Schizosaccharomyces pombe: one gene and its partners. The gene in region 3 interacts genetically with the main gene of each other region. Each region holds a gene or a part of one and is shown on either strand. Other genes may lie near its edges.

What was found.
Region 1: mutations in adf1 (region 3) and pan1 impair growth when combined (synthetic growth defect), as found in Schizosaccharomyces pombe (one study listed by BioGRID).
Region 2: mutations in adf1 (region 3) and cdc3 are lethal when combined (synthetic lethality), as found in Schizosaccharomyces pombe (one study listed by BioGRID).
Region 4: mutations in adf1 (region 3) and end4 impair growth when combined (synthetic growth defect), as found in Schizosaccharomyces pombe (one study listed by BioGRID).

Annotation. Positions count from the first base shown.
Region 1 is NC_003424.3:4,312,404-4,320,724, reverse strand, and holds pan1 (actin cortical patch component protein PanI), read left to right. Parts: upstream 1-2,017; 5' UTR 2,018-2,119; coding exon 2,120-7,504; 3' UTR 7,505-7,607; downstream 7,608-8,321. Other genes in the region: cdc8 (tropomyosin), read left to right, coding at 521-538, 598-1,065; tif302 (translation initiation factor eIF3b (p84)), read right to left, coding at 7,969-8,321.
Region 2 is NC_003424.3:2,577,139-2,581,303, reverse strand, and holds cdc3 (profilin), read left to right. Parts: upstream 1-1,778; 5' UTR 1,779-1,825; coding exon 1,826-1,838; intron 1,839-1,887; coding exon 1,888-2,220; intron 2,221-2,276; coding exon 2,277-2,314; 3' UTR 2,315-2,348; downstream 2,349-4,165. Other genes in the region: tif303 (translation initiation factor eIF3c), read left to right, coding at 1-1,084; SPOM_SPAC4A8.14 (ribose-phosphate pyrophosphokinase), read right to left, coding at 3,532-3,684, 3,727-4,165. UniProt on the Schizosaccharomyces pombe protein: Binds to actin and affects the structure of the cytoskeleton. At high concentrations, profilin prevents the polymerization of actin, whereas it enhances it at low concentrations. By binding to PIP2, it inhibits the formation of IP3 and DG.
Region 3 is NC_003424.3:4,823,440-4,827,930, reverse strand, and holds adf1 (cofilin), read left to right. Parts: upstream 1-1,804; 5' UTR 1,805-1,853; coding exon 1,854-1,856; intron 1,857-1,907; coding exon 1,908-2,013; intron 2,014-2,176; coding exon 2,177-2,481; 3' UTR 2,482-2,674; downstream 2,675-4,491. Other genes in the region: C-24(28) sterol reductase Erg4, read left to right, coding at 1-1,248; fmp40 (adenylyltransferase), read left to right, coding at 3,282-4,491. UniProt on the Schizosaccharomyces pombe protein: Controls reversibly actin polymerization and depolymerization in a pH-sensitive manner. It has the ability to bind G- and F-actin in a 1:1 ratio of cofilin to actin. Binding to F-actin is regulated by tropomyosin.
Region 4 is NC_003424.3:3,132,430-3,139,702, forward strand, and holds end4 (clathrin adaptor End4), read left to right. Parts: upstream 1-2,557; 5' UTR 2,558-2,695; coding exon 2,696-6,004; 3' UTR 6,005-6,237; downstream 6,238-7,273. Other genes in the region: DNA polymerase zeta catalytic subunit Rev3, read left to right, coding at 1-1,891; SPOM_SPAC688.12C (uncharacterized protein), read right to left, coding at 6,293-6,796. UniProt on the Schizosaccharomyces pombe protein: Required for cellular morphogenesis and polarization of the cortical cytoskeleton. Required for establishment of new polarized growth zones where it acts in actin organization.

The DNA of each region.
Region 1 (8,321 bases), 510 kb from region 3:
GCTTCTTAAATACCTGTTTCCAACTAATTCCTAGTCTGTATGTGTGTAAATATGAAATTAACAAGCGGACCTCTTTATAATTGTATAACTAAATGATTAAATATTATTGATATATGCCATTTTTCTTTAGCAGTAGAGAGCTCTTAAAATTTCAGTCATAAATACAAAAATCAGGCATTGTTTAAATCACTTCATTCCAAACTTGAAAATCTATTGCAGGAACACTTCGATTATAATTTACAAATGTTTGACTACTGTTTTTAACTTTGCTCTTTTAACGCTTATTTCTTTGATGAAATTAACAATCTGGTGTGTTGTAAGCAAAGCCTCAACTTCTTTGTTCTTTGATGAACAAAGCGCTTTACTGTAGAGCTTGTGTGTATTTCTTTGTAATAAATTAGTAAATAGAACTTTCTTGTACCGTCAATTAATTCACCACCCTTACCGTGGTATATGCATGTCAAACACACCCATCGGTATCTTCCCTCCACCATCAAGGAAAGAAGGAAACAGTAGGAAAATGGATAAGCTTAGAGAGGTATGAGATGATAGCTTTTCATTGGAAAATCAAGTTGCTAATATTTGCTTTTTATTTAGAAAATTAATGCCGCTCGTGCTGAGACTGATGAGGCTGTCGCTCGTGCTGAAGCAGCTGAAGCCAAGTTGAAAGAAGTTGAACTTCAACTTTCTCTTAAAGAGCAAGAATATGAGTCTCTTTCGAGGAAAAGCGAAGCCGCCGAGTCTCAACTCGAAGAGTTAGAAGAAGAAACTAAGCAGTTACGTCTCAAAGCCGACAATGAAGATATTCAAAAGACGGAAGCCGAGCAGTTGAGCCGTAAAGTTGAGCTTTTAGAGGAAGAACTAGAAACTAATGACAAGCTACTTCGCGAAACCACCGAAAAGATGCGTCAAACTGATGTTAAGGCTGAGCATTTTGAACGTCGCGTCCAATCTCTAGAGCGTGAGCGTGATGATATGGAACAGAAACTAGAAGAAATGACTGACAAGTATACTAAGGTCAAGGCTGAATTAGATGAAGTTCACCAAGCTCTTGAGGATTTGTAGATAGCGAAAAGCTTGACGAACATAGAAGAAACATACCACCTTTTTTATATCTTCTATTTGCTGTCATTCTTTTTCTTTCTTACTTTGTCAACTAGCTAAGTTCGACCTCACTTTTTATGGTTTATATTTAGCGAAAAATGATTTGATTTTGGTATGGAACACTGTTTTCTTTCTTTAGTCAACTTACTGGTGTTACCTTTTTACGAGAATCAGTATTTATGATATCAAATGTCTGAGTATTGTAAATTGAGAAGAAATGTGCCCTTATCTTCCCGATTCCCACCACTTTCCCTTCTAACTTAAATAACATTTTGTAAGCATAACTGTCTTAATGTTATCTGAATGATAAGCTTTTATTTTTTTTCGAATGCCAACTCTTTAATAAAGACTTCTATATGATAAATACCGTCTTTATCTTTCCTTTTTTTTACGATGTAAATATTGAAGTTTGCTAGGCTGAAATCGGTATTTTGTAAGTTGTTTATACACGTCTACCTTAAAGTAATTCGTGCAAACGAGTGGTCGTGCTTTTGTTAGGGGATCATTATAGTTAGGTTTGTCTTACTTTATTGTATGAATGACATTCATCTTCAGCGCGGGTTTTTTAAAATCAATCTATTTTGCAGAATCACAATACCTGTTAAACTCACATTTTCTATGAATTTACCTATTTGTTAAATTGCCTTTTATTTTATTTTATTATTTTTTTTTTGGAAATCCGATATCCGTACACGTTGAAGAGCATTGTTAGGCATCGTAAGCATAATCAAAGTTGAATCAACTAAAAACATAAGATGTTAACGTAAATAAAAAGAATATCTTAATGTATTGACATGTATTGCCATTTACATGTTCTACTTGATATAAATTTACATAAACCTTTATCGGAATAACGAGGTACAGGGTTTGCGTTAATGTGCTACTTTGGTTAATGTAGACTTACCGTCGGCTTGTCAACTACCAAAGAGCAAAGAAGGCCAAAGGAACATTTAATATTATTAATTTGGCTTAATAAGAGGGTGCTCATTCAATAATTTCTCCTTCATATCGTAGTATGTCATATCCAAATCAGATGAATGGATCGATGTACGGATATGGCGCGAATAATGGAGTTCAACCAGGTTTTGACAGCTATGGTATGCCTATAAATCAAGGCGGTATGAATTACCAGCAGCAAACATATCCATACCAACAGCCTTATCAACCTGATGGCTATGCTGGTAATACGATGCTACCTTTTCAGCAATCACAACCAGCTACTCAGTTTAATAATGGATTCGGATATGCTTCTCAGCCTACGGGGTCTGTAGCCGATTATGGCCAACAGCAGCAGCAAATGTATGGCTATAATGGGATGATGCCTCAAACAATGAACAATACAGGTTTTATGCAACCTCAGCAAACTGGAGCTATACCTGGATTTGCCCCCCAACCTACGGGGTTTGTGCAACCGCAACCTACAGGGTTTATGTCGCAACAGCCTGCTTCATTTATGCAACCGCAAAGGACTGGTGGTGCAGGCTTTATACAGCCTCAACGGACTGGAGCAATGCCGGCATATCAACCTCAAATGAATAACTTTATGCAACCCCAAAAGACTGGTGGATTTGCTCCACAAGCAACTGGCTTTATGCAGACTCAACCCTTTGGGGCTGCTCCATCGTTTGCTCCACAACCTACTGGATTTGTTCAACCTCAGCAAACTGGTGTAGTAATGCCACCTCAACCCACTGGATATTTGCAAGCTCAACCTACTGGACCTTTTGCATCTTTTGTTCAACCTCAGCAAACTGCGTCCTTCATGCCTGCTGCACAGCCCCTTAAACCTCAAAAGACTGGTCAAATTCATAATAGTAAAGCGATGGACACTAGATTATCATTCGTCTCTGCTGCTGATCAGGCCAAATTTGAGCAACTTTTCAAATCTGCTGTTGGTAGAGAAGAAGCAATGTCATCTGAGATCGGTAAAGCAATACTTGTTCGTTCTAAGCTTCCTACCGTTCAGTTATCAAAAATTTGGAGGTTATCAGATACCACCCGCTCTGGTCGCCTTTTGTTTCCTCAATTTGTATTGGCTATGTATCTTTGTAACTTAGGACTTACAGGGAAGCCCATACCTGATAAGGTTCCGGATGGGATTCTTAATGAGGTAAATGCCATGGTAGATGCAATTTCATTTTCGTTGGATGAAAATTACGCAAAACCAACTCAGCCAATTCCACAAGCTGCTGCTCAGCAGATGGCAGCTCAAATGTTTGGTGGATTCCAGCAAGCTGCTGGTATACCTTCTCAAATAACCGGATTTCAGCCGCAGGCGATGATGCCACAGCGCACTGGAATGCAGCCACAGATGACCGGATTTCAACAACCTATGATTCCTCAAAGAACTGGCATGCAGCCCCAAATGACTGGATTTCAACAACCCATGATGCCTCAAAGAACTGGTTTGCAACCACAGATGACTGGATTTCAACAACCTATGGTTCCTCAAAGAACTGGCATGCAGCCCCAAATGACTGGATTTCAACAACCCATGATGCCTCAAAGAACTGGTTTGCAACCACAGATGACTGGATTTCAACAACCTATGGTTCCTCAAAGAACTGGCATGCAGCCCATGATGCCGGGTTTGCAGCAACCGATGGCTCCTCAAAGAACTGGCATGCAACCCATGATGCCTCAAAGAACTGGTATGCAACCTCAAATGACTGGATTTCAACAACCTATGGCTCCCCAAAGAACCGGCATGCAACCCATGATGCCTCAGAGAACTGGTATGCAGCCTCAAATGCCAGGTATGCAGCAACCGATGGCTCCCCAAAGAACTGGCATGCAACCCATGATGCCTCAAAGAACTGGTATGCAGCAACCGATGGCTCCCCAAAGAACCGGCATGCAACCCATGATGCCTCAGAGAACTGGTATGCAGCCTCAAATGCCAGGTATGCAACAACCGATGGCTCCCCAAAGAACCGGTATGCAACCCATGATGCCTCAGAGAACTGGTATGCAGCCTCAAATGCCAGGTATGCAGCAACCGATGGCTCCCCAAAGAACTGGAATGCAGCCGATGGCGCCTCAGAGAACCGGTATGCAACCCATGATGCCTCAAAGAACCGGTATGCAGCCTCAAATGCCAGGCATGCAACAACCGATGGCGCCTCAACGAACTGGCATGCAACCCATGATGCCTCAAAGAACTGGTATGCAGCCTCAGATGCCAGGTATGCAGCAACCGATGGCTCCCCAAAGAACTGGAATGCAGCCGATGGCACCTCAGAGAACCGGTATGCAACCTCAGATGACTGGTGGTCCTATGCTTCCCCAGCGCACTGGTGGTATGGCACCTCAACCAACCGGAATGCCTGGTCAATGGGGCTTCATTAATACTCCTTTAAGTAATCTTCCTGGAATTGAAGCATTAGGACAGCAAATGATGCCAAATGCTCCTTCTGGAGGCCTTAACAATACGTTTCAGCAGAAGAAAGATATTCCTTGGGCTATCAGCAAAGAAGAAAAACGAATTTATGACCAAATTTTTGATGCTTGGGACAAGGAGCGAAAGGGTACCCTTGGTGGCAACGCAGTTTTGGAAATTTTTGGTCAAAGCAAGTTAACCCGGACTGAGCTTGAGCATATTTGGAACTTATGTGATCACGGTGACAAGGGTTCTTTAGACCGTGATGAATTTGCTGTTGCCCTTCATTTGATATATCGCAAATTGAATGGTAATGAAGTACCTGCCGTGCTTCCCCCTGAGTTAATTCCTCCTTCTACTAGAAACTTTACTGAGTCGTTGAATCAAGTTAAGAACCTAATTAAGAATGACACGAGTAACAGAAAACCTTTTGGCGCCGAAAATCAAAGCAAACTTAAGAAGAATTCGTTTTATGACAATCCTAGCGAAACGACTGAAAAGGATGCTACATTGTATCGGCACAATGATTCTGATGCATCTGCATATGTTTCTAGTGCTCGAAGAAGAGATTTTAAGGAAGAAAAGATTGAATCTGCTCCTCCTATTATTAATGATATTGATTCTGAAATAGCTTCTCTTAAAAAACGAATTCATGAAAAGAGTCTTGTTGTCAATGCTCTTGAAGATAAGAAACTGGCTGCTACTCCTGCCAATGACGTTCAAAATGACTCTTTAATTTATCGCATTAAATCTGTTCAAGATGAGATTAATCGACTTTCTACTTCTAACAAGTCACCTGAAGTTGCTTCTATGAATGTGCGATTAGAAGAGCTGAGCACCCGTGTCTCTAAAATGCTTTCTGATATTAATGAAGTTGATCATACAATTGCCAGCTTGTCGCTCAAACTTTTCCAAGCAGAGGATACTAAAAATTCTTATGACCAAACATCTCCAGAGGCTACCCAAGAACGTAATAGAACAATTTCTTCGAAGTTAGCAGAAATGGAGAAACAAAAGAATGAATCAAAGGCTGCGCTTGAGCAAATGAAAAATTATGTTACCAACATTGAGAATAACATTAGAGCAAAACTTCTACCTTCAGCGGCAAATGATGATGCTTGGCTATCTCAGAACGTTGTTGATGAATCTGTCACGCGTGTTGTCAAAGAGCTGCCTGTACCTGCCCCAGCAGCACCTCAAACTTTGAACCCTCCCTCTGTTTCCACAGTTCAACAATCGAAGCCCATTGAATCAAATACGCACACTCCCGAGGTTAAAGCTACTTCTGAATCACCATCAGCTTCGTCTAATCTTGAAGATCGTGCTGCTCGTATCAAGGCTGAAGCCCAACGTCGTATGAATGAGCGTTTGGCCGCTCTTGGTATAAAACCTCGTCAAAAGGGTACACCTTCTCCTGCACCAGTCAATTCTGCAACTAGCACACCAGTCGCCGCACCCACTGCTCAACAGATTCAACCCGGAAAACAAGCTTCAGCAGTTTCTTCTAATGTACCGGCTGTTTCAGCTTCTATTTCTACTCCTCCAGCTGTGGTTCCCACTGTTCAGCACCCCCAGCCGACTAAACAAATTCCAACAGCAGCTGTTAAAGACCCATCTACTACTTCTACGTCCTTTAACACAGCTCCCATACCTCAACAAGCACCACTGGAAAATCAGTTTTCAAAAATGTCACTTGAACCACCTGTCAGGCCAGCTGTTCCCACTTCTCCTAAACCGCAAATACCGGACTCATCGAATGTGCATGCTCCACCACCTCCCGTTCAACCTATGAACGCAATGCCATCTCACAATGCTGTTAATGCAAGACCATCTGCTCCTGAAAGACGCGATTCATTTGGCTCTGTTTCTTCAGGATCCAATGTTTCCTCAATTGAAGATGAAACCTCCACTATGCCCCTTAAGGCAAGTCAACCAACCAATCCAGGTGCACCTTCAAACCATGCTCCACAAGTGGTACCTCCGGCACCAATGCATGCTGTAGCTCCGGTTCAGCCGAAGGCGCCCGGAATGGTTACAAATGCTCCAGCTCCATCATCTGCGCCTGCACCCCCTGCTCCTGTTTCACAGCTACCTCCAGCGGTACCAAATGTTCCTGTTCCAAGTATGATACCCTCTGTAGCTCAACAGCCTCCCTCTTCGGTGGCTCCTGCCACTGCTCCTAGCTCTACATTACCTCCATCCCAATCTTCTTTCGCTCATGTTCCTAGCCCAGCGCCGCCTGCACCTCAGCATCCTTCTGCGGCAGCTTTGTCATCTGCACCAGCAGACAACTCCATGCCTCATAGATCATCACCTTATGCACCTCAAGAACCTGTTCAGAAGCCTCAAGCGATAAATAATATAGCTCCTGCTACCAACTTGGGAACTTCGCAATCTTTTTCACCTAGGATGGGTCCTGTCAATAATTCAGGTTCTCCGTTGGCAATGAATGCTGCAGGTCAACCTTCTTTAGCCGTTCCTGCTGTTCCGTCAGCCCCTTCAAATCATTTCAATCCATTCGCTAAAATGCAACCACCAGCTCCTTCTCCTCTTCAACCTAGTGGTCACGATTCTGACAATTGGAGTCAACATGGTGATGAAGAAGAAGAAGATAGCGAAGATGACATACGTTCAAGTAAAGATGCAGCTGCCTTAGCCGCCAAATTATTCGGTGGTATGGCTCCTGCTCATCCTGTTTCAACACCTCCTGTAAGACCTCAATCGGCGGCACCACCTCAAATGTCTGCTCCAACACCACCACCTCCTCCTATGTCAGTACCACCACCTCCATCTGCACCGCCAATGCCTGCCGGTCCACCGTCTGCTCCACCACCACCTCTTCCTGCTTCATCGGCTCCTTCTGTTCCCAATCCAGGAGATCGTAGTGCTTTACTTCAACAAATTCATACTGGCACTCGGTTGAAAAAAACGGTTACGACGGATAAAAGCAAGCCCATAGCAGGACGAGTTTTAGACGCTTCTGACGGCAATTCATCCGCTTGGTATGGGAATTTGTCTTAGTGGCTTAACTTTTGTTTGTACTCATATCAAACGTTGAGTTTTTGTAGTGTTTCTAATTTTTATGCGCTCTTTATGAATGATATATTTTCTCATTCTGCAGCTATCAATTATCTCTTTAAATTGGCTTGTTTATACTTTATTTACCAATAAAATGTTTATGTTTAAATCTCTAGAGTGCATTAAGACAATATGAATTTAGAAACTTTCTTGAGTCAAATAATACTCGGACATTCACAAAACTATTAAGAACGCTATATTACTTATATACAGTAGTATGTAACGCAAATGCAATTCCATTTAAAAGGACTAATGTAAATATAAATTTCCCCATACAGTACCAATCGAAACGCAAATACACGTCCAGGAACACATAATTGCGGCAACAAGATCATGATTTTAATCAAGTAACATCCGATTTCGAAGAAGGCCCCAATTTTTTTATGACAAAAGGTAGCGTAAAGCCCTTAATCTTCAACGGGTTCTATCTCTTCAGAGATTACTTCCTCAACCGTTTCCTGAATTATTTCTTCTTCTTCAGCAGGAACAGTGATAGCAGGTTGGCCAGTGATTGCACGTTCTTCCGCAACCCGAGCAATAACCTCATCCCTATATTTCTGCCACTCACTAATGAGCTGTCTTCTACGGGCTGCCAATTCACGATTGGCGGAACTCTGTTCGGCGATATCCTCTTCATCAAACAAACGATTATAATCCTTAAGTTTCTTTCTAATTTTCTTCATGTCTTCCTTTGTCAATGGAGAAGGAGGTCTCGGACGCCAGATAAACTGCTTAAATTCTCCAATCATTTCTTCACGAA
Region 2 (4,165 bases), 2.2 Mb from region 3:
TTCCCTATGTGTCTATCTTTATAATAATGGTGTCAGTTTACTTCGTACCCGTGCTATGCTGTGTCATATTTATCATGAAGCATTGCAAAATCGTTTTTACAAGGCTCGTGATATGTTACTTATGTCGCATTTACAAGATAGCGTGCATGCTGCCGACATTGCTACTCAAATTTTACACAATCGCACTATGGTTCAAATTGGTTTGTGTGCTTTCCGCAACGGTATGGTTCAAGAAACACAGTATGCTCTTCAAGACATCTCTACTACTGGTCGTGTAAAGGAACTCCTTGGACAAGGCATACAAGCACCAAAGTTTGGACAATTTACACCTGATCAGGATCGTTTGGATAAGCAGTTGGTTTTACCTTTCCATATGCACATAAATCTAGAACTGCTTGAATGTGTTTACTTGACTTGTTCTATGTTGATGGAGATTCCCGCAATGGCAGCTGCTAGCTCTACTGCTTCAGATTCTAGAAAGCGTGTAATCAGCCGACCCTTCCGTCGTATGCTTGAATACATTGATCGTCAGCTTTTCGTTGGTCCTCCTGAAAATACCCGCGAGTATATAATGCAAGCTTCGAAAGCATTGGCAGATGGTGAATGGCGTCGTTGTGAAGAATTTATTCATGCTATTAAGATTTGGAGCTTAATGCCTGATGCTGACAAAATTAAGCAAATGCTTAGTGAGAAGATTCGGGAAGAGGGACTACGTACATACTTATTAGCATATGCTGCTTTTTACGATTCTGTTTCTCTTGAATTTTTGGCTACGACATTTGATCTTCCTGTTCAGCGTGTTACTGTTATTGTTTCTCGGTTATTATCTAAACGTGAGATCCATGCTGCTCTTGATCAAGTTCACGGTGCCATCATTTTTGAACGTGTTGAGATTAACAAGCTGGAAAGCTTGACTGTTTCTCTTAGCGAGAAAACTGCACAATTGAATGAGGCAAATGAAAAGCTATATGAGCAGAAGACCCAACACACTAATCCTCAGGAGAACAGACGTCGTGATAAGGGTGGCTCGGTTAAAAGACGCAATGAACGCACCGAAAATCGGAATCGTTCAGACATGAATTAAAGTTGTTGTGCATCGGTGAAAAATAGGGCGATCTAATTTCAATAAAATGAATGACTATTTGTCTTTGAAGAAAGTATTTAACTATCAGGTGGTTTCCATAGATCAATAGACATCTGAGTTACTTCATAGTGGTTTTGTTACAAACGTTAATCGGAAATAATGTAGTTTACCGTTTGGTAATTATCTTCAATTGTAAAGATACTTTGCTTCGAAAGTCTGAATCTGTTGACCATTATACACGTTTACAGTAAGCTATTTCTGCAAGCTTTGTTCTTCAGTTTCATATGGTCGCCTTTTTTCCATCGACTGAAAACAGACATGATGTGTGTAATCGAATTTTTGGTCGCTAGTACGAGCTCAATCTATCGGTGTATGGTTTGAAGTTGTTTTCTTTAAAAAATCTATTACTGAACGAAGTATCTCTAATTGTGTTGTTGAACCTCTAAACAAGAGTTCTGAAATTCTATTGAATACTTCTGAAGTCGTATTAAGCATAACAATCCTTACACAATACATTCACACGATCTTGAATGGTAAACCTCTAACGAAGTCAACTGCGATAAGTTTCATATTATTTCTAAAAATGAGGGAAACTTTATAAGAATTTTTTTATCAATGTTAGAACGTCTTAGAGCACCTTAAATTGGTCATAGGTTTCAAACGCATGTAGAACGGGTAGCTGCTACTTTCCGTCACCCTACTACTACAAGTTTTCCTATCTCTAAACCCAGATTTGCAAAAATGTCTTGGCAAGGTTTGTATATCCTCTAGATATTATTACGAATAATATCTAACTTATTTAGCTTACGTTGATACTTCTTTGCTCGGTACTGGAAAAATCGATCGCGCTGCTATCGTCTCTCGTGCTGGTGACAGTGTTTGGGCTGCTTCTGCTGGATTCAATCTTTCTCCTCAGGAAATCCAAGGCCTTGCCGCTGGTTTCCAAGATCCACCTAGTATGTTTGGCACTGGTATCATTTTAGCCGGTCAAAAATACATCACTATTCGAGCTGAAGGACGTTCTATCTATGGTAAATTACAGAAAGAGGGCATTATTTGTGTAGCTACTAAGCTTTGCATTTTGGTTTCTCACTACCCTGAAACAACCCTTCCAGGAGAAGCCGCCAAGATTACTGGTAAGTTTTTCTCAGTTTACTATTCTTAATTAGCACAATTATTAACAACGCAATAGAGGCTTTAGCTGATTATCTTGTTGGTGTTGGGTATTAGATTTTGACATGACAATCAATATTACTGCTATTTCATTTAAATTATCAGATAAAAGTAGTTTTGGATCCTTTCTCATTTTTGAACAGGTTTCTGTTAGTAGGATGTATATCGTTTGTAGAAGATTGCCATGTGTAAATAACAAATGTTAAACTTTTTACTTTCCGTTTGCGAAATAATATTGCGTACAAATTAAAAGCAGTGCAAACATTTTAACTACTAACTTGAGCCAAATTACATTATATGTAAATAAACACAACAATATTTAGATATTTATCTTTTCGCAAAAAAGAGGGTTTGAATAGGAAGAAGTCAGTTCATTAAGTGGAGGGTAACGTGATAGATTTATCTACATAAGCAATTGCAAAAAATCAAGTACTACATATACTTATAAAAATTATTTTACAATGATCCATACACTAGACAAGCCAACAATCTTGACTGTGTAAAAATTCTTTGCAAAAAAAGTGCTCCCGGCGAGGATCGAACTCGCGATTTCCACGTAACACACCTCCTAAGGGGAGTATCATATAAGCATGAGGCCTTAACCAGCTTGGCCACGGGAGCTGTTGCTTGATTTGTAGCAAACTATATAGTATATATAGTGTGTTTCGCAAAGTTGAAAATATGACAAAAAAATAAAAACAAGTTGTAAACAAATGTATTGTTAAGAAGTTAAACGACATTTTCTTTTAATCTTTTGAGATTCTTTTTTTTTTTTTTTTTTTTTAATAAAACTTTGGTTTTTGATAGTTCATTTGAAGAAACTCAGCTTTTCTGAATTTAACAAATTATGTTTGCAATTTACTTACATTATTAAGTGTTTTGGTATATTAAAATGCCAATGAAAGAGTTGAACTGGCCTAATAAATTTTAAAGTAACTTCTAAATTGCTACCAATTTTTAATTATTATTTTTTTTAATATTTTTATGCATTAATAAAACGTGAAAACCCTCGAATTTAAAGAAGTCCCACAATACGGGCAACTATATTTGTTACAAAATAGTGCTACTTCTTAAATTAGGTAAATAATTAGCGTACAGATTTTTCTATTCATTGGTAGACATTCTTCACACCAAGGTAAGAAACAGTGATATTAAACAAAACGTTACTTTTTGATATCCTATAACTTTGACTCAAAACCAAGTCTTCTAGAGCAGCATATTGTAGTTAAAATAACTAATTAAATTAACATGATAAATAAAGTAGTACGAAAATTTTAGAACGCTTTCTTAAACAAGAAGCTAATACTTTCACCGTTATGGGTACGGCGAATAGCCTCTGCAAGTACCCCACTAATATCAATAACAGTAAGTTTGTCACATTCCAGGACTGCTTGTGGTTTGATAGGATACGTATTGGTGACAACAATCTATTGTTACGTTAGTCAGCTTTCCGTGATATTTGACATTACCTGTTCAATGTATTCACAAGATTGCAAATCTTTTAAACATTTATTTTGAAAAATTCCATGGGTACCAATCACTATAACTCTTTTAGCTCCACATCGCTTAACCAAATGTTCGGAAGCGACAATGAAAGCTGTTGGATTTTCAATTGTATCGTCAATTAATAAGGCGGTTTTACCGTTCACATCGCCGACAAGGGTGATCATACGTTCAGCATAAATGGACGCAGACATAATGTTTTCCTCTTCATCATCATCACTGGGACATCCTCCCTGAGAATACAAATTAACTTCTTGAGCATAATCTTCTGAACAAACACTAGCTGGGGTAGTTATAATTTCTTCGTCATCGATAATATGTCCCAAAAGGTACTTAGCAGTATGGATACGAGGACGATCCAAATATACAGAACAATTAGTAACATGTGTTTCAGTTGCTTCTGTT
Region 3 (4,491 bases):
TTTAATGATTCGCAGTTTATTAAACCAGAATCTTTTACGATAGCAGGATTTCAAAATTTTTTTAGAACGTTAGGCCATTATATCTACGTCGGTGCCTATCCAACACGGTATGCATTCTTGGTTTTTTGGTCGTTTTGTATAGTTCAGGCTGTCATGTACTTAACTCTTCCTGGTGTTCGGACGCAAGGTTTGCCTTTAAAGCATCGCAATAACGAACGTCTTCCTTACTTATGCAATGCTATCTGGTCTTTTTACACGACAATTGTTATTCTTGCCGTTCTTCACGTGACCCACGTATTTCCAATTACTACATTTATCGACATGTTCGGTCCTTTGATGAGCGTTGCAATAATAACCGCTTTTGTCTGTACCTTTGTTTTGTACACTGGAACTTTGCTTTTTGGTGATCGACTTTTTGATAAACCTCATCGGTTATCTGGAAATCCCATCTACGATGCCTTTATGGGAGCTTGCTTGAATCCTCGCCTTGGCAAATTGCTTGATTTTAAAATGTTCTTTGAAGTTCGTATCCCTTGGTTTATCCTATTCTTTATTTCCGTTGGTGCTGCTGTTCGTCAATATGAAACTTATGGCACTGTAAGTCCTCAGGTACTTTTCGTTTGTCTTGGCCATTATTTGTATGCAAACGCGTGCTCGAAGGGAGAGCAGTTGATTGTTCCAACTTGGGACATGGCTTATGAAAAGTTTGGTTTTATGCTTATCTTTTGGAACATGGCTGGGGTCCCATTTACTTATTCACACTGCACCCTTTACCTTTTTTCGCATGATCCATCTGTTTACAACTGGTCAACTCAATATACAACCGGTATTTATGTTTTGCTTCTTTGCTGTTATTATATATTTGATACTTGCAATGGTCAAAAAAATCATTTCCGTAATCAAATTTATGGTACTGAGGTTCATCGCAAAACATTTCCCCAACTTCCCTGGCTTATCATCAAGAACCCTACCTTTATTCGTTGTGCAAATGGCGGTACTTTGTTGACTTCAGGTTGGTATAGGTACGCTCGTAAAATTCATTATACTGCTGATTTCTTTCAATCATTGTCATGGGCATTGATCACCGGTTTTCAGTCCCCTCTACCTTACTTTTACCCATGCTTTTTCTTTGTAGTCCTTGTGCATCGTGTTTCACGTGATATTAAAAAGTGCAAAGCTAAGTATGGGGCTGATTTCGATGAGTATTGCCGTATATGCCCTTACTTATTTATTCCCTATATATTTTAGAAATGTCTTTTTAGTCCCTTCTTTACTTAATAAATTGGCTATTCAAAATTCCACTTGAAGTGTTTTTCTACTTTAAAATTCAGTTAATTTTTGTGAAAGTTCTCAAATTTGATTGAGTAGCTGGAACATTCCTTAAGTTATGAACGAACAAAGTAAGCAGCTCTGACCGTTTTTTATACAATCTATTTCTAGACTTAAAAATTATTAACTTCCAAGTCTTTTTGCATAAAGATTTTTGGAAATAGCGTAAGGAATAGCTAATAAATAGTAACAATCATCTTGTTTCTTCATAGCGATCCATTTACAGTTAAATTTTTTTTTGCATTAGTTCACTCACTTGCTAGATATATAAATTAGTGTGGAATATTTAGGCGGTAGTGCATACGCATAACCATTTGCTATTATTTTTTTGTAGAACTGTATGTTTTTTCGCTTATATTTAATAAGGGTCATGCAACATAATAATAAGAAATTATAGACTCTGCTTGTTTAGAGTAGTGCGCCACCCTTACTTGGGGCGACGGTATCTACTGATGCGAGTAGCCCTCCCCTAACCAAACCAGTGCCAACCACACTAGCTTACCCGCTATCAGTAAATAAATAATATGGTATGAAATATTTTTGTTAACTTTACATCGTGTTTATTTAACATACATTAGTCTTTTTCAGGTGTCAAAGTCTCTCCCGAATGCTTGGAAGCTTTCCAAGAGCTCAAGCTTGGAAAGTCACTCCGTTACGTAGTTTTCAAAATGAACGATACCAAGAGTAAGTGACGAAAACGATTTAGATGGAATTTGAGAAAGTCCAATATCCCTTTTTTTAAAAATAAATTTATTTATCTACATTGATATATATTTTATGTTTGTAATGTCTTTCTATGTCGTTTTTATAATTATGTGGAACCTTTCACTAATTTTTTTTTGTTTAGCTGAAATTGTTGTTGAAAAGAAGAGTACGGATAAGGACTTCGATACTTTCCTTGGTGACTTGCCTGAAAAGGATTGCCGTTATGCTATCTATGATTTTGAGTTCAATCTCGGAGAAGGTGTTCGTAACAAGATTATCTTTATTAGCTGGTCTCCTGATGTTGCTCCCATTAAATCTAAGATGGTTTACTCTTCTTCTAAAGATACTTTACGTCGCGCTTTTACTGGAATCGGTACTGACATCCAAGCAACTGATTTCTCCGAAGTTGCTTATGAGACAGTTCTTGAGAAGGTTACTCGTAAGTAAAACACTTTTGGTTACGATTTCTTGACTCATGCGTAATACGAAATGAAATTAAATAACTTCGTTTCGGTATGCAAACCGATCCTTCAACGCTCCTTAAATATCTTTTTCTATATATTTAGAACTATAAATACAAAGATTTAAGTGTACGTTGGTTTCCTGTTGATATTTAATTTGTCAATAGTATATCTACTTTAAAAAATTTGTCATGTGATAACGGATGAGTCGGTATATGAAAAACACTGCAAGTTATTTGCCAATGTAATTGACAAGCAATCATAGAGAAATTAGTTCTACGCAGTTTCCACCACTAGCTGAAATGTTTGAGTGCCTGGGTGCTTGCAGGTTTTTATTCATCTACTTCAAGTATGGTATAGTAAGTAAGCTTAGTTTTATTTTCTCAGTTCCGACTTTTTAATTCTGTAGATTTCATCTACCACTATTTAGTCATTGAAATTGTTACAAATATTCCTCTATATATAATGATTCTGCATTCCTAAAAATGCTAATTAACAAATTACGAAATCCAACGATCTACAAAGTAATGCCATTCCATATTAATATAACAATTGCTGTTCATTCGCTATCATTTTAAAATGATGTTTTCATTAGTTTGCTCATTGATCACATAGCATGTATTTTACCAGCTATTTTCAACGTACTAGTCTACTTGATCTGTTATTGATCAAATGTAAGTGAATTGCTGCTTTTATTGTTATTATAATCAATAAAGTAAGCAAATTTACACTGGGGCACAATCAAACATTGGTATGCAAAGAACATTAATTCGATATACCAATACGATGTCAAAAAAATTGAAGGATCTCCCTGTCAGCTCAACGTTCACATCAAATCTTCCGCCTGATCCACTGGTACCGACCGTACAGGCAATGAAAAAGGCTGATGACAGAATCTTACATGTTCCTCGATTTGTGGAAGGCGGCGGCTTATTTACTTATTTGACTCCATCACTAAAAGCCAATTCTCAATTATTAGCTTATAGCCCTTCGTCCGTGAAGTCATTAGGACTCGAAGAATCTGAAACTCAAACTGAAGCTTTTCAACAGCTTGTTGTCGGTTCTAACGTTGATGTCAATAAGTGTTGTCCTTGGGCGCAATGTTATGGAGGATACCAATTTGGGGATTGGGCAGGTCAGTTGGGTGATGGCCGCGTAGTATCCTTATGCGAACTTACCAACCCGGAAACTGGAAAACGCTTTGAGATTCAAGTCAAAGGCGCAGGAAGAACACCATACTCTCGATTTGCAGATGGAAAGGCTGTTTTAAGATCTAGCATTCGAGAATATTTATGTTGTGAAGCTTTATATGCTCTAGGCATTCCAACAACACAGGCTCTGGCAATTTCCAATCTTGAAGGTGTTGTAGCACAACGTGAGACTGTAGAGCCTTGCGCCGTTGTTTGCCGTATGGCCCCTTCTTGGATCAGAATTGGGACTTTCGATCTCCAGGGGATTAATAATCAAATTGAGTCTTTACGGAAATTAGCCGACTATTGTCTAAATTTCGTTTTAAAAGATGGATTTCATGGTGGAGATACTGGAAATCGCTACGAAAAACTTCTTCGAGATGTTGCATATCGAAATGCTAAAACTGTAGCCAAATGGCAAGCATATGGATTTATGAATGGTGTTTTGAATACTGATAATACCAGTATACTGGGACTATCAATTGATTATGGACCTTTTGGATTTTTAGATGTTTACAACCCATCTTTTACACCTAATCATGACGATGTATTTTTGCGATATTCATATCGCAACCAACCTGATATTATTATTTGGAATTTATCAAAATTAGCATCTGCTTTGGTTGAGTTAATTGGAGCTTGCGACAAAGTTGATGACTTGCAATATATGGAACAACTTCATAACTCTACTGATTTGTTAAAAAAGGCGTTTGCTTATACTTCTGAAGTTTTTGAAAAGATAGTAGAAGAGTATAAAAATATTGTCCAGAATGATTTCTATGATCTTATGTTCAAACGAGTGGGTC
Region 4 (7,273 bases), 1.7 Mb from region 3:
TCATGAGAAGCAAATCCTTTTAAATTATATGTTAAACAGGACTAGATATTGTTTGGAAATATTATCAGCCTGTGCCATTGTCACTAAAATTCGTGAACAAGCAAGAATTATCGGAATTGACTTCATGTCAGTAATTTCTAGGGGGTCCCAGTTTAAAGTTGAATCTATTATGTTTCGAATTGCAAAGCCTGAAAATTACATATTTCCATCACCTAGCGCTAAGCAAGTTGCTGAGCAAAATGCTTTAGAAGCGTTACCTCTTGTTATGGAGCCGAAGTCTGATTTATACAATAATCCGGTAGTTGTACTAGATTTTCAGTCACTATACCCCTCTATTATAATTGCATATAATCTTTGTTATTCCACATGTCTTGGACCTGTGAAAATAGTCAATGGAAAAGTTAAGCTTGGATTTATGTTTCATTCAAGCAATCCAAACATTGTGAATTTAATAAAAAATGATGTATATATCTCCCCTAATGGTTATGCATACGTTAAAGAGAATGTTAGAAAGTCTTTGCTCGCTAAAATGCTAGAGGAACTTATTGAAACCAGAAATATGGTGAAAAGAGGCATGAAAGATTGTGACTCGGACTATGTCAACAAAGTATTGAATAGTCGGCAACTGGCCCTAAAATTGATTGCAAACGTAACTTACGGATATACTTCAGCGTCATTTTCAGGAAGAATGCCGTGTTCAGAAATCGCAGATACTATTGTGGAAACAGGACGTGAGATACTTAGCTATTCACTAGAATACATAAATACTTTAGATTTTTGTCATGCAAAGGTCGTTTATGGTGATACCGATAGCTTATTTGTTGAATTACCTGGAGCGACTAAAGAGCAAGCTTTCGACATCGGACAGCAGCTAGCAAACAACATTACTTCCAGATTTCCTTCTCCAATTCGACTTAAATTTGAAAAAATTTACTTTCCTTGTTTCTTGTTAGCGAAAAAAAGATATGTAGGGTTCAAATTTGAATCAGTTAGTCAAAAAGCTCCAATTTTTGAAGCGAAAGGCATTGAGACAGTTCGAAGGGATGGTACTCCTGTTCAACAGCAGCTCCTTCGTCGTTGCCTTGAAATACTTTTTAAGACAAAGGATTTGTCAACGGTCAAAAAAGAATTTCAGAACGTATGTTATCAAATTATGAGTGGAAACGTTCCTGTTATGGATTTTTGTTTTTCAAAAGAAGTTCGTCTAGAAAAATATAAAGAATTAAGTACTGCTCCTCCTGGAGCAGTTATGGCTAGACGGTTGATGACCAAAGATCCTAGGAGGGAACCTCAATATGGAGAACGTGTTCCATATTTGATTATCGCTGCTGCTCCTGGTACCACCTTGGCGAACCGCTCAGTTGCACCCGAAGAATTTCTGTCTTCGAGTTTTTCTCAACTTGATATAAATTATTATATCAACAATAGTTTGATACCTCCATTAGATCGATTTCTAAACTTGTTAGGGGCTAGTGCCCAGTCATGGTATCATGAAATGCCCAAACCACGTACCAGTTTAAAATTGACTGAAACAGTGAAAGGAGGTATTCAAAAAAAGACTTTGGACACTTTTCTGATGGAGAAGCTTTGCTCTTCTTGCTTGAAGAATAATATTGAAATTATTCCTGATAAAATTAACTCCCTCTGCAGTGATTGCTTAAAAAATCCTTGTGCTACTATTTCTAAAGCTGTTACGCAGCACAATGCTTATAACAAAAAACTTTCCTTGCTATTTGATATTTGTCGAGGCTGCAGTAAGCTTTCATCTAGTGATCCAGTTCTTTGCAAGTCAAATAGCTGTAAGGTGTACTATGATAGGGCGAAAACTGAGAATTATGCGAAAGTACAGGCAGAAATGTTAACGAAGACTCTTGGTTCTTTAGACTGGTAAATCATTATAACTTCAAATATTGGTGTGAAGGACTTGAAATTAAAATACATCAGGCATTTGTTCTCTTATCACCTGCTAGTTTATTCATCTACGTATTATTTATTACAATTATTTATTTTTTTTAGAAGGTTATATCGATAACTAAAAATATTAATATCATCATGTTATTGGATTTTTTTTTTTTAGTTAAAATTTAGTAAACCTCTTCGTATTCTAGGGTGCGTAGCAATTCTTTATTTACTTTTTACTGTCCGCAATACTACGCTGTGATACTTTACGTCGCGTGTCACTATATGTCAAGTGCACTGTTTTGATTTATCAACTTGACATGATAAGTTATCAAGGTACGGTTACTAATTATGATAAAGTAACTATCACTTACTACATTCAAATTCTTAACACTATATATTGAGATAAACTGAAGTGAGGACGGGAATCGGTTTTTAGCTACGTTAGTGATAAGTAACAGATAATGTGTATTAGAATACTTACATCAATTGCTACTTATATTACCTCGTATTGCAATATAACAATCACAAGGAAGATTCAATACTGTTTTTAAGTATCGTTAAAATAGATACCGAAATACGTAGCTGATATTTGCGAGACAAATTACTTCGTAATTATCAAAATTCGTACGGGACACGGATGTCGTAGTTTTGAAACAGAACCAATTTCTATAGTAAGAACGGACAGAAGACAATCTTGTACATAGCACTACGATATTTGTATTTTACCAGAAATTGTTAGGATTTGAATTGGCAAATTTTTAATTACCAAAAGTGAGAAATCGAAAAGTACACGATGAGTTCGTTTCGACTGCAATCCGATCACATGCAGTCAGACGCATCGTTGATGACAAGCGTGCGGAAGGCTACTAGCATCGATGAAACAGCCCCAAAGCGAAAGCACGTTCGTAGCTGCATCATTTTCACTTGGGATCATCATACAGCCAGGCCTTTTTGGACTGCTATAAAAGTTCAGCCATTGCTTGCAAACGAAGTTCAAACTTTCAAGGCGTTAATTACCATACATCGTGTCTTGCAAGAAGGTCATAAGTCTGCACTTGTTGATTCTCAAAGTGAGAAAGGCTGGCTTAAAACTTGTGAACGACAGTATGATGGTGAAAGTAGTCCAAAGGGCTATAGCGATTTAATTCGTGATTATGTGGATTATTTACTTGATAAGCTTTCTTTTCATGCTCAACATCCGGAATTTAATGGTACTTTTGAGTATAAAGAATACATTAGTCTTAGGCAAGTCGATGACCCTAATGAAGGTTATGAAACTGTATACGACATGATGAATCTTCAGGATCATATTGATGAATTTCAAAAACAGCTTTTTTCTAACTTCAAGCGTTCAAATAAAAATGAATGTAGAATTGCAGCCCTTGTGCCTCTAGTTCAGGAGTCATATGGTATTTATCGATTTTTAACTAGTATGTTACGTGCTTTATATAGCACAGTTGATGCCCCAGAGACTTTGGAACCTTTGAAGCATAGATATAAGTCACAACACCATAGGCTTCGTCAATTTTACGCGGATTGTTCAAATCTTCGATATTTGACTAGTCTCATTTCAGTCCCTCGTCTTCCACATGATCCCCCCGATTTGGAAGGTGATGACAATATCCCTGATCTTCCTAAGAGACCTGCTTCAATTGCTCCCCAACCCACTGGCGCCTCGACCATTGCTCCTCAGCCTACTGGTACTTCTCCATCTCCGCCGGTTGAAATGAATTTTCCTGATACTAGCGACATTACTCCGGCTTATAGTGAACCTGAACCTATTCAAGATTTCTGGTCTGATCCTACTTTAGATCAACAATTGGCTGCTCAGCAAGCGGCTCAGCAAGCTGCTCAACAACAAGCAGAGTTAGCGGCTCAGCAGGCCGCAGCACAGCAGGCTCAATTAGCAGCTCAGCAAGCTGCCGAAATGGAGCGTCAACGGATGGCCGCACAGCAACATCAGCAGGCCTTGGAGGCAATTCAAATGGCACAAGCTGAACAACAGCGTATTGCGCAAGAACAACTTGCTCAGCAACAATTTCAAATGCAAACACAAGGACAGTTGGCTGAACTTGAGCAACAGCTTCTTGCTACTCGAGGACAACTTGAACAGAGCAATGTGTTACTTAATCAATATGATGCTAGAGTGAGAACTCTTGAAAATGAGCTGAGCCAGGCTGGCGTTAACTTGCAGGAGCAAATACATCAAAATGATGATCTTATTGAATCTTTAAAAAATCAGATTCTTACATGGAAAAACAAGTACGAAGCATTAGCCAAATTATATACACAACTTCGTCAGGAACACTTAGATTTACTTTCGAAATATAAACAAATTCAGCTCAAAGCAAGTTCTGCGCAAGAGGCTATTGACAAGAAAGAAAAAATGGAAAGAGAAATGAAGAATAAAAACTTGGAACTTGCTGATATGATTTTGGAAAGAGACAGGGCTCGTCACGAACTCGAGACTATGCATCGTAGTCAACGAGACAAGCAAGAAAGCACTGAGCGTGAATTACGTTTACTTCAGGAAAAGGCTGCTTCCCTTGAGCGCAATAAATCATCTGAAGTATCAAATTTGCTTAGTCGTTATAATACAGAAGTTGCTCATTTAGAAGATGCTCTTCATTCAAAGGATCGTGAGCTAGCCAACTTAGGTGTTGAATTGAAGTCTACTGAAAATCGGTACCGCCAACTTTTGCAGGAAAAGGAAGAAGAGCTGGAGATTCAAAAAGCAGCTGTCGACGAGTCTCTGTTACAGCTTAGCAAATTACAATTGGATCGTAATGACATTGATCAAGCGATGGATACTCAAATTGACGAGCTTTTGAAATCGCAGCTGGAGAAGCTTGATGACATAGTGGATTCTGTTTTGGCTACTGGTATCCAACGTTTAGACACTAGTTTGTATGAACTGGATTCACCGATGCATGCCGGTAATCAATATGCTACTCCTGAATTTATTCTATCTACTATTGAAAATGCTAGTAACAATGCTACTGATTTTTCGACAGCATTCAATAACTATTTTGCTGATGGGCCTAACGCTGACCATTCTGAGGTCATCAATGGAGTCAATCTTTTCTCCACGGCCATATACGAAGTTGCCAATAATGCTAAAGGTTTAAGTAGAACAACTGGTGACGACCAAGGATCGGATCGGTTTGTTGGCTTATCTCGGGATTTGGTAAATATGGCCAAACGGTTCCTTTCCAGTTTATTTTCCGTCAACACAAGAAAAATGGATGTAAATGTTAAAACAGATCTTGTAATTGGTGAAAATATAGAGTTACAACGCTATTTACAACAACTTACACAGTACTCTGAAAAATTCCTGAACAAAGAATCGGAAAACACTGTGGGATTACTCAATGCTCCCGGTGAAAACATTGAAGAACTTGTCGATAATCAACTGGCGGAAACAGCACAGGCTATTCAACAGGCTATTTTAAGATTACAAAATATCGCAGCAAAACCCAAAGACGATAGTTTGTCCCCTTCAGAACTGCAAGTTCACGATTCTTTGTTAAGCGCATCAATTGCCATTACCGAGGCTATTGCCAGATTAATTAAAGCAGCAACTGCTTCACAGGCAGAGATTGTTGCTCAAGGAAGAGGTTCCAGTTCACGTGGTGCATTTTATAAAAAACATAACCGCTGGACGGAAGGCCTTATATCAGCTGCGAAAGCCGTTGCGCGTGCTACAACTACTTTAATCGAAACTGCTGATGGAGTCGTAAACGGTACATCTAGTTTTGAGCATTTGATTGTCGCATGTAATGGTGTTAGCGCCGCAACTGCACAATTGGTTGCAGCCTCTCGTGTAAAAGCAAATTTCGCCTCTAAGGTTCAAGATCATCTTGAGGATGCTGCGAAAGCTGTTACGGAGGCCTGTAAGGCATTGGTTCGTCAAGTGGAGTCTGTTGCTCTCAAAGCTAAAGAGGTGCAGCATGAAGACTTCTCTTCATTGGGTGTTCATGAATATCGTCGTAAAGAAATTGAGCAACAGGTGCAAATTTTGAAGTTGGAAAATGATTTAGTCGCTGCCCGACGTCGTCTTTTTGATATGAGAAAAACATCTTATCATGTTGCCGAAGAGTAATTAAGTCTTTTCGATCCTTTTTATTTTTATGAATTAATTTTGGAAAGCCTTAAATACTCAGCTATTAGTGCTTCTATTTTTGCTAGGTCGATACGGGATGATAAATACATTGCGTTCTTTTCCGACCAATAGGCAGTATTAGTATATTTAAATTTTAAATGTAAATAAATACCATTACATATTGTGACACTTGTAGATCCTACTGATATACTAATGATCAAAGCAGAATGGCTAACCTACCGCACTATATCTCTTAAAGTAAAACAAACATAATCCAGATTTATTTTTCTACAACTTTTTCTTTTTCCTCCTCTCGGTTTTTTTCTCTTTCTTTTGCTCCTTCTTTTGTTCTTTCTTTTCTCGTTGTTCTTTTAAGCGCTGTTTTCTTTCAGCCAGTAGAGCCTCATCTTCAGGATTTGCGCAAGCAACTTCGAATAGTTTCCATGAAAGAATTAAACCTAGACCAGTCGCGCCAAAAACATAAAGATCTAAAGTAATCAATGTGGTCTGAACAAGTATGAATGTGATTATCATCTTAATGATGATCTCACGGCCTGACACATTGCTACGAACTTCTTTACGAATACCCAAAGGAAACCATCGAATTTTACCAGGGGGTCCAAATGAAATATGATAATTCCGTTTCGTGGGATTGTTAGAAGGACCCTTGGGCTTATAAATGTGAATTAAATTGATAAATGCTCCAATAAGGAAAATAGCTAGTCCAATTTTGTTATTCTTCGGATTCGAGAAAGTCTTTGTCAATTGATACGGAGATTCTTCTTCACTCATTGTAATTTATTTTCTATTATAGGAGATATAAAAGAAGAACCGTTCGTTCCAAATTAATTTGATCAAAGTATGGTGAATGAAACCGTCGGGGTGGAGGTTAGGAAAAATGTGGTACTACAGACAAAAAATAGAATAATTTGCCTCTCCCATAAACAGATATTCAAGATGTATTTTATCGTATGTTCTCAAATTACCTAGACGCTAACACTAATAAATAAATTTGAAAATATTATTGGTAAGGTGGTCACATGGAGGAACTAGTCAACGAAATAGGTATCTGCCCTTGAGCTTGCAGTAGACTAATTAAATTGAAGACGACTGTAATATTCAAGTTTTATCTTTATGTCATCAAGTAATTACCAAACAATGGGGAAACGAATGAAGTTGTTGAATTTCATTAGCATACACATGTTTTCGTCAACTCCAACGTTACTCTCCCTATCCCAACTATTTAAAGTACGGTGGGCAGAGAGCATT